Daphnia pulex: one gene and its partners. The protein of the gene in region 2 purifies or fractionates together with the protein of the main gene of each other region. This does not show direct contact. Links are inferred from orthologs where the notes say so. Each region holds a gene or a part of one and is shown on either strand. Other genes may lie near its edges.

Region 1 (3,306 bases), on a different chromosome or scaffold from region 2:
TATTGTCTCTTTTAACTTCATAAAAACATCGCGCTCGATTTCACTACAGCAAGCAGACCACATCGTGCAACGATGTCAGATGTTTAATTTGTAGCGTGCCCGCGCAGAATCGCACGCGAATTCATGAATTCACGATTCACGATTGTACGAATCCACACGAATGGTATTTAAGATAATCAAGAATAGAGTTTCCTCTCATTTAAAAATAAGTAGCCTTAAAAGATTTATATGACGAATTATTAAAGTGCTAATGAAGGGATGGCGAAATATGCTTTATGCGATTTCAACTGCGCTTTTGCTGCTTAAAGATTGAGTGTTGAATTTTTAACGAAGATATCTCAACGCCTTAGCCGATAAAAACTTAAAAGGAGAGCTCTTAATTCGCTTTCTACTCAAAATCCGTCGCACAGGTGCAGAAGCAGAACCAGAATTTCGAGTATGTTTTAAATTTGTAAAATAACTTTGAAAAACTAAACAGAACATTTTAACAAATCAAATTATTCCATACTACACTCACTAGTTTAATTTAAGATTAACAAAAATTATCTATTAGTAATTAGAAGTACCCAAATAGTCTTCAAAAACGTTTTTTTATTGTCCACCTTGAGTTTACAAGTGCGTGAAGTATCAGTTAATTCTAAGCAATTTCTTTTATGACATCCTCTACTTGCTCCTTTGAATACATATGGAAAGGCTGGTCGGGAGTAACGGCTGCAACTTCAACATTGGTTGAGCTCAATTTCTCTTCCATGACTTGCTTCAAGATAGTCAAAGCAGCTTTCATTGCTGATTTAAGAGTCATAGACTAAATATAAAGAAAAACATGGATGATTTTGATTTTTTCCATTGAAATATTTATCTTACTTTGTTATATGCCTCTTGGAGTGACTGCTGAGCACCCTCACTTCCTGATCCAATTGCTTTTGCATCATATTGAACATAGGTTCCTGAGGGATCCATGTGGAACAACTGAGGGCCCTTCTCATCAATCCCAGCAAATAGAATGGCTACACCAAAAGGTCTAAATAATTGCAGTGAAGGTTGTTAATAAGAAAGCAAGCATTTAACAATTTCCCAAATTTTACCTAGACATGGCATTTCCATCATCATCAGAATCTCCAAACTGAATTGCTAAATTAGAAACTGCCTGGGCTACAGATTCAACACTCATCTTTTCATCATATGTAAACCAATGATTTTGGGCTTCAACACGAGCACGATCTACCATTGTTCGTGAATCTGCCATAAGACCACTAACAGCACATCCTAATTTTAACAAAATTGAAAATTCTTATTAAAAATGTAACAATACAAATCAATTCTATACTTGCCAATATGTTTATCAATTTCAACAATTTTTTCAATTGTTGTTGGTTCCATGAGGGGTGAGGTGATTCGTTTTTCAACAGCAAGCACTACTCCTTCTGAAGTCTGAATTCCAATGGCAGTAGAACCTAGTTTGATGGCTTCAATTGCATATTCAACCTACATTTTTCAGACAAAAATTACAACTTGAAGATAGTTTTAATACATTTCTCAGTGCAAATGCCGGGCTACCTGGAAAAGACGACCTTCTGGTGAAAAAGTATTGACACCACGGTCATATTCGGATCTTGTAAGGAACATCCTGATTTTGACGCAAAACTGCAATAGAATTTAAATAAAATAAATGAATGTAATGCAAGATTCAACTTGTCTCCACTGCAAACCAACCTGAGTTATGTTTCGAAAAACGACTTGTCACTTCAGAAACTGGTGGACGGCTGGCGTGCGGCAGTTGTTTTTACATCGAAAAACAGCGAGATCTGTTGAACAATTATTGAAACAAACTTGCGCGCCTTATTTTAAAATCAATGGAATATTTTGTATTAGAAATCTAATCTACTCATCATTTATCTTTTATACAAAATAAAGCGTAGTATAAGGATAGATCACGCTCCTTTCGTGCTATCTACAATGACAATGTTCAGTTGTTACAATTAAGCATCTCGCAACTACTGCTAGTCTGCTACTTTAAAAAGTAATTAAAATGAGGAAAATCAAGTAAAAGAAACTGTTTAAATTTTTGGCAAAATGTATTACTAATTATTTACTAAGGGGTGATAGAAGGAGGAGGTAATTATAAAACAATACGCATAATAATGCGGCGGTGCATTAAAAAAATGCAAACGAAGACCATAAATTGTTTTAGAAATTAAAAATTTTCTGTTCCTTATGAGGAATGTCTACGAGCTGAAGTCGGATGCAGCAAGGCAGCAATAAGTGCACATCTGTAAGCAGTTCAAAAGTCCGAGTAGACAAACACAACAGGAGGATTCTTCAATGTCACAGGACGCACAATATCGCCTTCGGATGACAACGATGATTGCAACAAAAATCATGACAAGAACAATAATACCGATAGGAAGTATTAGTCCGTAGATTATCCATGAGTGATCAGGCCCTTAAAAAAATGTGGAAATGTAATTAATTAATGTCCACATTTTTATCAACGCGATGGGACGTTGCATTAAATTTTTAAAAAGGAAATATACCTGTAATAAAAAAAGAAATTTCTTTCGATACAGTTTTGTTATCGATTTTTGAGTTGCACTTAAATTCTCTGTGAGTAGTTTGGCGGTTAACATTGAGAAGTTCTAGTCGACTTTCGTAAACTCCCAACTCGTCATTAGTTAAGCTGATTTTAATGCCTTTAATTTTATGTTGGATAAAGTAAAAAATGTTAAAATAAAATCTTCACACTGTGAAAAAGTGATCAAGTTTTTTTACCTTCAGATGGGCCCGTCTCATTAATTCGTTTTAGTGTACTCATGTCGAATTTTGACTTGAAAAACCATTCGGGAGGCGAAGCAAATTCGGGATTGGTGTTGGCACGACAAATTAATGTGACATTGTTTCCTTCCCATGGATCAGCAATGTTGTCAACTCTTATCAATTCTATTCCTATTTTCGGGGTTTAATTAGTGAGTTCAAATGAGGGTTAAGGCACATTCCACCGGACTTTAATTATAATACACAAATACCTTCAACGAAAATCTTAAAAAATATCTTCGTGCTGATATTATTGACTGTTCCAATGCACTGGTAGTCACCAGTGTCTTCAAACGTCGCTTGATGAAGTATCAATCCGCGTTTCGATTCCATCAACCAGTTTGAATTGGGTTCAGATAATAAATTCTATTAATGTTGAATAATTATATTAACATAATATTGTCTTGCGAATAAAATTTTAGTTTACTCGAGAGTTGCGGATGAGCGAGACGGTAACATTAGGATGAGTGGACTTGCACGGGACAAGGCCAGAAT
Region 2 (3,933 bases):
ATTGAGGAAGAAAAGGTAAACTAAAAGTACAATTTCTTGTACACAATTATATAATCTATTTGTAAACGTCGTATCTACCTATTCATTCGCATGGGATAGATTTCGCTGAAGAAAAATCGCCTACTTAAACGCCAGGAGTCTCGGAACATGAAGCGCCACAAACACCTAACAACGGAGTCATCGCAGATTTTCAGAAAACCACCAACATCAGACCCAGTGTTTTTGAATCGTAGATATAACAGACTTGTTCCTAAAGTGCTACCCAGTGTTCCAAAACTTGATAATGCCACATTGGAGGAGGCATTGGACCAACTCTGCCAACAAATTCAAGAGCAATTTAATTTGAATACCATACAGGTAAAATAAAGAACCAACCAATTCATTGTGTTTATTCAACTGAAACTCCGTTGCTATCTTTTGTCTGACAATCAAATAAAACATGATAACTATGAAAACTTTATCCCCTGTCATACCGGGATATAAAATATTAGGCTAGTTGCACGCAACATGATGGGAATTAATTGTATAGCGTAATTTTCTATTATCCTAACACATTTCTAAATAAACAGCATAAACTAAATTACAATAATAAACAGCTTAAGAGCTGTAACGAACAAACGTCTTAAGAGGTAGCCAAGTGTATTGTTTTTCCTCGATCCGCGCAATCAAAAGTCTTGTAATTGAAAACAAAATAGGAGAAAAAGGGAACGAAACAAATACCAACGCCAAGTTATTTCATTCAGATTAGAAAGACATCCGACCAAATAGGAAAGGTAGTAAATGTGGACATAATCCCCTTGGGCTTTACCATGCAGAGGATATAAGATAGAACTTGGCACTCATCCACATTTCACTTCGATTGCTACGTTTCCTCTACCATCAATCCAGATACTTTCGAGACTCGGAAGTGTTCTCATCGCAGGGTTAAAAGGTATATCAATATACTGGCAACATCGATGTCATCACCTCACGAGATAATCTTAACTAATCGGATGTTTTTTTTCTATTGCTAACGTTTGGAGCATCAAAGAAATACACGGCTACGACAATTTTCAAATGTATGACAAAACCACATTGAAGATCAGACGGCGGATTTTTTCCCCTTCTCTTTACATATACAAATAAGCGGATGATAACATTACGCGCGCTCGTACATGCCCGTGTGCATAGCGCGTGGGGAATATGTAAAGTTAGGAGCGAGGAAATTTTGCGCAATTAACCGTGGTGAATTGCGATTAGAAAAAAAAAACAAAAAAAACGAATTTATTAAAAAATAAGCTTTAGTTTATGCGCCTGTTGAATCTTATGACAAATCTGTAAATAGAAGAAAAAATTCAGTTAGGATAGAAACAATTTAGAAAGAATAAAAGTATATCTTACAAGATGGTGCCGAATTGGCCTCGAAACGCTTCTGTAGCTGGTCCTGAGTAAACTTAACAAATGCGTCGTATTGCTCGGCGAGTTTAAGTGTCAATACTCGATCATACTCCTCGCGAATTTCTGTTTCGCGCTCTTTTAACATTCTTTCACAAATGAGGCTCACCTGTAAAACAACAAGGGAATGTTACAAAATCTCAACTACAAAACACTTGTTTCTTCATCTCTTGAAAATATGTTTGAGGAATTGGAGGACAGAATGCCGTACATGACACATCCTGTTACTATGATACTCTATTTTTAATTTATGGCATGTGCTGGAGGAGGCCAAGCTAGACAACAGCAGAACGCTGAGTCTAGCAAAGACGCATGATACTGGAAACATCAAGCTCAAAGAAAACCAGCACTACCAACATGTAACACTAGAGAATCACAAACTGTTCCTACCTGCTTAAACGTGAACAAAGGTTTCTCTTTAGTTGAGCAGCTTTGACCAAAATTATTGGAGGAAGCCAGGGCCATCAATGGCGAAGGTGATCGAGGGCATGAGGCAGGAGATGCTGGACTGGTAGGGCTCTCACACATCAAACTGTCTTGATGCTGGCTGCTCATGTGCTGAGATTGATTTTGACTGAAATTAAGCTGTTTACGACGTTGAAAGCGTTTAACTTCCTCACGAACATTCGCCAAGATTTGCTCTAAAGTAGAATAACGTTAGTTAGAAATCATTCTGGTAAGACTTGGTTATGAAATCTCACATACCTGGTGTAAGCTTCGAAGAGACATCGCCAAAAGGAGAAGGTTCATGGCACTTTGTTGGTGGAGTTGTTGGAGGCATGCAAATTGGCATACATCTCCTTCGTTTCGGTGTACGACCACCGGGACTGTGCACAGGATCAAATTCCAAACTACGCTTCAAAGTAACACAAGCCATTTTGATTCAACGACTTTCTTTCTTAGGCAAGTTGCTATGCTATGCTTGAAAAGCAACAGAAAATAGTCAGCTGAATTACACAGGATGCGTTAAACGAATGGCTATCAAAAGATGCTAGTTCACAACAGATGCAATTGGAAATCCAATGAACACAAATTCGTCGTAATATATATGATAGACTGATGGATGAAATGGGATAATTCTTCGAAGAAATTTACCCAGCTTCGTCCATTAAGACAACTGCAGCTCTCTTGGTTTTCTATTGGTTACAAAAGTAGCTTTAGCCCTAGGGAGAGTGGTGAACAGCATTGCCAGTTTTATGTAGAGCTTCAATCCCCTAAGGGCAATTCCAGCCACGTCGACGGTCGACATTCGACAACCGAAGCCGATAAAAATTCATTTTTCCAGTTCATTTTATTATTCAGATGACCAAGATCGCAAGTTCACTTCTAAATTTACAAATTAGAACAAGTAAGTAAAATTCTAATGACAATTAATTTTCAGTAGAATATTTGTTGTGAGAAAAAACGTTTGAAGTCCGCGTCCGTAAAAACATAATTTTTGTTTTCTTGTAGGTGCTGTTTTGATAAAAAAGAGAAAATTATACCTGGAATCGAGCTAATAATTAGTTGTGTGATTTATGGCAATTAATTCAAGTGTTGCTATTTTTATTTGACATGTGTTAAAAAAGTGGCGTCGATGTAAACTGTTTGACATGCCAAAAGATCCAGCAGACCGGCATGTCATGTGACAAGTGGTCACCCTTTTTTAGTTAATTTAGTTAAATTCTATCGGTCATGGGGGTTCTTAATGTGCTCTATGTGATTCTTCATTTTATTATCACATATATTCACAACATTCATGTGGCGTTTAGTGAACTCATTGATCGTATCAAACCAGTTGTTAAGGATCGAACTTACCTCTGGCCAGCAGACTGCCATGTTTTGCTGAATGCCACGACTGTGAAATTAGGTGCAAATATAAAAGATGAACGTCTTCTCCTTCAAACTATTGGAAGTGACCTGAAACTACTTCAAAAACTTCCCATTCATGTTGCTTGCTTGTTTACTGAGAAGGATGTAAACATTGATAGAATAATAACTATTGTTGAGTGGTTTGTTAGTATGGGTGTCTATTGCATCAGTCTCTATGATCATGAAGGTATTTATTTATTACCTGTTTAATTAGTACCTTATTTTTCTAGCAAATTTGATTGATTCATAACTGTTAAAATTTTAGGTTGTCTGACTAGCTGTCATGATGAAATCAAAATCAAATTGAAAGGTGTTGCTGCCAATTTTCGCAATGGATTGAAATCCAAATCTGTTGCTGTTCATAAAGGCTTTGTAACAAAAGAATTCTACAATTTGGGTAATTGGATAGTATAGTAGTGAAATTCATTTTTCTAATTATGTTTTTTCTTTAAAGATTCTATCAATGTTTTCATCATGAATCAAAATGATGGCAAACCTATGTTTGCCCAAGTTACAAGGCAAATAGTGGGTGAATTAAATTATTGTCAAATTGATCAGGGTGTAGTGGAAAACACCATGAATCAATTCTACCCCAAAGACCCAGAGTTGATGTTACAGTTTGGCAGCTTACTGTCTAACACTACCCTA
Region 3 (3,559 bases), on a different chromosome or scaffold from region 2:
CTACTGAATGACTATGACAGTCTCAAAACAGTGCCACTTGGGATATCAGACATCATTGGTATGTTACTTGTCATTCAAATTACAGTCCATTTCAGCGTCATAAATCGGTTTTAGCAACCCTGGCATGAAGTCAATTGGTTTTCCAATGTAAAAACTTTGGACGATTGGGTTTGGTATTAGCGAACGTTGTAACAGTGCTTTTTTTTAACAGATGCTTCAGTCTGCAAAGAAGGAGTTGTCGTCAGCTCCAACGAAACATTGTTGGAGTTAAAGGTTCAGAGTCAGAACCGGAATGCACAAGTGGTTATATCAATGCGCCCCGAAGACCCTATGGCAGTTTTGATGCAGAAGTATGCGGAAGCAACCGGGATTGATTTGTCCAAATTGAAGTTTAAATTTGACGGCGAAATGTTGGAAGAAGATGACACACCGTCTAGTCTGGAATTTGAAGGTGGCGAGTGTATCGATGTTTTCATTAGAGAGTAGTTTATTTGTTCACTACATTTTTCTTAACTTTACTACTTTGTATATTTTCCCTTGCGCAAATAAATTATGCACTAATAAACAAAAATTCGAAAGACTTTTGTATTATGACGCACAATGTATTTTCATACCTCGCAAATAAAAATTGGTTAAGATAGAAGGCAGAAAACACAGATGGAAAAATTTGTGGGAGGGTGTAGTGGCTTAAATCCTAATATGTTGATGTTACAAGTCTTCATCATCTTCTGGTAGTGCAATGTGTTGAGCTTCCTCCAATTCACCTTCAATTTGCTTCTGCCAATTAGGATCCATCTGCACCTCAGGTGGCTGCAGAGCAGGCATAGCAACAAACTCTAGGTTAGGGTCTCCAATTAGCTTACGTGCTAGCCAGAGGAAAGGCTTTTCAAAGTTGTAGTTTGACTTGGCACTAATGTCATAGTACTAAATGAAACCAAAATTTAGCAAATTGCATTTACAATTTAGTAGCACAATTAACATACCTGGAGATTCTTCTTTCTGTGAAAGACAATGGATTTGGCCTTGACTTTACGATCTTTAATGTCAACTTTGTTGCCACAAAGAACAATTGGGATGTTTTCACAAACTCGGACCAAATCTCTGTGCCAATTTGGAACATTTTTGTAGGTGACACGAGAGGTTACATCAAACATGATGATAGCACATTGGCCCTGCAAGATAAATGAAAGTCAGTCGAGACCATGTGAATACAAGTATGCTGACATTTACCTGAATGTAATATCCATCTCTGAGACCTCCAAACTTCTCCTGACCAGCAGTGTCCCACACGTTGAATCTGATGGCTCCACGGTTTGTATGGAAAACCAAAGGGTGAACTTCCACACCAAGTGTGGCCACATACTTCTTTTCAAATTCACCAGTCAAGTGACGCTTAACGAAAGTGGTTTTTCCGGTACCACCATCGCCAACCAAGACCAGCTTGAAAGTGGGCATGTCAGGTTCGGCAGCCATTCTGTTGTAAATCCTACAAATAATGAGAAAAGATAAGTGAATCGATCAGACTTGATTGCGTCATTCAACAAGAATTTACTGGAACTTAATCTAACGACAACAAAATATATTTTTCTAAAAATTTACACACTCGTGAACACTTACAAGTTAACTGTCAATGTTTAATGTCAAGAGAAAAAAGGGACTATTTCAAACAACTACCACAGAACAGTTTTACCGCCACTGACTAGCTTAGTGCGTTGTCTTTGATGGAGGAAGATGACTGTTAGAGGTTACAACTTGAAAAATGCAGAATAAAATAACTATGATGACTAAAATACTTTCCATGCCGAATTAAAAAGAGATTGGCAAAAGAAACATTACTGCTTACTTAAAACAACGAAAAGATGAAGGATGTGGACAATATTCGAAGATAAATCTAACTCACCGGCGGTTTTAAGCTTTAGGTTCACAATCGCGCGGTTCTAATACCAAACTGGTCTCTAAAAATTCTGGTAGCGTAAAGGCTGGCTGAAAATGGGTGGCTCTAAAAAATTCCTAGCGAGATGTTGCCAAATTTCACTAGGAGAAACGGCGGGAATATTTTCCTTTTCTTTGAAAAAAAGACGGTTGGAATTTGAAAATGGAAAGTAGGCTGTAGCAGGGCTGTAGCTCTCTATTTCTCTAAAGCCTGTCTAAAGCTTTGAATGTAATTTATTAATGTTGAATTTCATTCAGGCCTATTAACGGGATGATGTTTTTTAATTTTTTAATCAACAATATATTTATTTTGTGTGAGATTAAAATGCTAAATGTGTTAATAAAAAGGATAGTAGCACTTAATTCAAATGAAATTACCTTTTAAAAGAAGAAAGAAATTCCTATAAGCATCACTGTATATAAATTAATTAATAGGACATTAAAAGACGTGGTAGCAGCATGATGAATATTTCTGTCAAAGTTATGATTGCTGTTTTTTTTGTTAGTCATTATTTCATTGTATGTTATAAAATCAACCGTTCGAAGAAAAATAACAACGGAGGCGATCATTCATACAAGCATCTGTATTTATTGATACGATGAATTTCTGGGTTACAAAAAATAATGGCGAGTTTTGTTTTACAAACAAAATATCAATGAACTATTACAAAATAATTTTCGGAAGGTTTCATCACAGTGTATAAAATCTTGGGAGATAAAGCTATGACGAACATTTTGATGCGATACCGGTTCGTTTGTAACTCAACGCGAAACTGACTACTTGAACGAGGATCCAAACAAAAAACGCAAGACAAAGGGGAATATGGGGATAGGGGGTTTCAGTAGTCATCACATTCCACATTGGCGAACTAATCATGCACACATAAAAATAAACTAAAATAATCTGAAATAAACATGGAACTCCAAGTTTTATCATATATAGTTATCAAAGTTAGGAGATTTTTTTATTTTTTGCAGCTTCAATGAACTTTGCCATCAGACTCTTGACAGAAAATGGGTCCTCTTTTTTGGCTCTTGTTTCTTTTTTTGTGCTTAACCTTGATGATGGATTTTTTCCAGAGTGCCCAAAGTGATTACTAGTCCTCTTGTTTTTGCAGTTAACATTCTTTGATGCCTTAAGTTTGTTTGATGTGATGGAAGGCGATGGGGCAATCAGACGAATGGTGGCGAATAAATTACCTTCTTCATCCACGTCTATGTCAACTTTTGACTTTGGTACCGAAGATGTAGAAGGACGACTCAATGGGACTTTTGTAGTAGCTTCTTGTGGTGATTCCAAATGTGAAGGTGCGAAGGGAAGCAGTCGAATCTCGTCGGGATCAATGACACTGGATTCCTCGAATTCAGATTTCACCAACCAAACCGGCGAATTGTGTTGAAGTAATTCAACTTTCACAGGCATAACATGCGGGGCCATTTTTGTTAATTTTCTGGGAGATTGGCTTACATTGGTTTCGATCAATCGTTTTTTTGCTTGAAGAGGTGTTGTTGTTTCGGGAAAATCGGAAAGAAGAAAGGGATTGGCAGTTATTTTCCCAGCGGCTAACGGTGGGTTAAGGACGGGAGCAACGAGAAATGGAGGTGCAATTGGTGCAACAGTGGTGAT

Evidence for each region. The genes of interacting proteins can lie anywhere in the genome.
Region 1: the proteins of akirin-2-like (region 2) and proteasome subunit alpha type-5-like purify together in Homo sapiens (affinity purification with mass spectrometry; 3 studies listed by BioGRID and IntAct, with this or other methods). This does not show direct contact. The link is inferred for Daphnia pulex from reciprocal best matches to the Homo sapiens genes AKIRIN2 and PSMA5.
Region 3: the proteins of akirin-2-like (region 2) and GTP-binding nuclear protein Ran purify together in Homo sapiens (affinity purification with mass spectrometry; 3 studies listed by BioGRID and IntAct, counting the BioPlex papers as one, with this or other methods). This does not show direct contact. The link is inferred for Daphnia pulex from reciprocal best matches to the Homo sapiens genes AKIRIN2 and RAN.

What each region holds. Positions count from the first base shown.
Region 1 is NC_060026.1:13,770,833-13,774,138, reverse strand, and holds proteasome subunit alpha type-5-like, read right to left. Parts: upstream 1,829-3,306; 5' UTR 1,714-1,828; intron 1,645-1,713; 5' UTR 1,627-1,644; coding exon 1,558-1,626; intron 1,486-1,557; coding exon 1,332-1,485; intron 1,267-1,331; coding exon 1,086-1,266; intron 1,022-1,085; coding exon 865-1,021; intron 806-864; coding exon 638-805; 3' UTR 572-637; downstream 1-571. Other genes in the region: vascular endothelial growth factor receptor 1-like, read right to left, coding at 2,226-2,443, 2,535-2,690, 2,770-2,943, 3,024-3,177, 3,239-3,306. UniProt on the Homo sapiens protein: Component of the 20S core proteasome complex involved in the proteolytic degradation of most intracellular proteins. This complex plays numerous essential roles within the cell by associating with different regulatory particles.
Region 2 is NC_060027.1:5,353,270-5,357,202, forward strand, and holds akirin-2-like, read right to left. Parts: upstream 2,617-3,933; 5' UTR 2,312-2,616; coding exon 2,140-2,311; intron 2,076-2,139; coding exon 1,825-2,075; intron 1,544-1,824; coding exon 1,381-1,543; intron 1,315-1,380; coding exon 1,304-1,314; 3' UTR 623-1,303; downstream 1-622. Other genes in the region: uncharacterized protein LOC124207045, read left to right, coding at 1-15, 100-366; dehydrodolichyl diphosphate synthase complex subunit nus1-like, read left to right, coding at 3,109-3,472, 3,551-3,682, 3,740-3,933. UniProt on the Homo sapiens protein: Molecular adapter that acts as a bridge between a variety of multiprotein complexes, and which is involved in embryonic development, immunity, myogenesis and brain development.
Region 3 is NC_060020.1:1,358,570-1,362,128, reverse strand, and holds GTP-binding nuclear protein Ran, read right to left. Parts: upstream 2,054-3,559; 5' UTR 1,901-2,053; exon of another isoform or gene 1,844-1,900; intron 1,716-1,843; exon of another isoform or gene 1,618-1,715; intron 1,487-1,617; 5' UTR 1,474-1,486; coding exon 1,231-1,473; intron 1,173-1,230; coding exon 984-1,172; intron 925-983; coding exon 709-924; 3' UTR 572-708; downstream 1-571. Other genes in the region: NFATC2-interacting protein-like, read left to right, coding at 1-58, 212-486; uncharacterized protein LOC124192239, read right to left, coding at 2,885-3,559. UniProt on the Homo sapiens protein: GTPase involved in nucleocytoplasmic transport, participating both to the import and the export from the nucleus of proteins and RNAs. Switches between a cytoplasmic GDP- and a nuclear GTP-bound state by nucleotide exchange and GTP hydrolysis.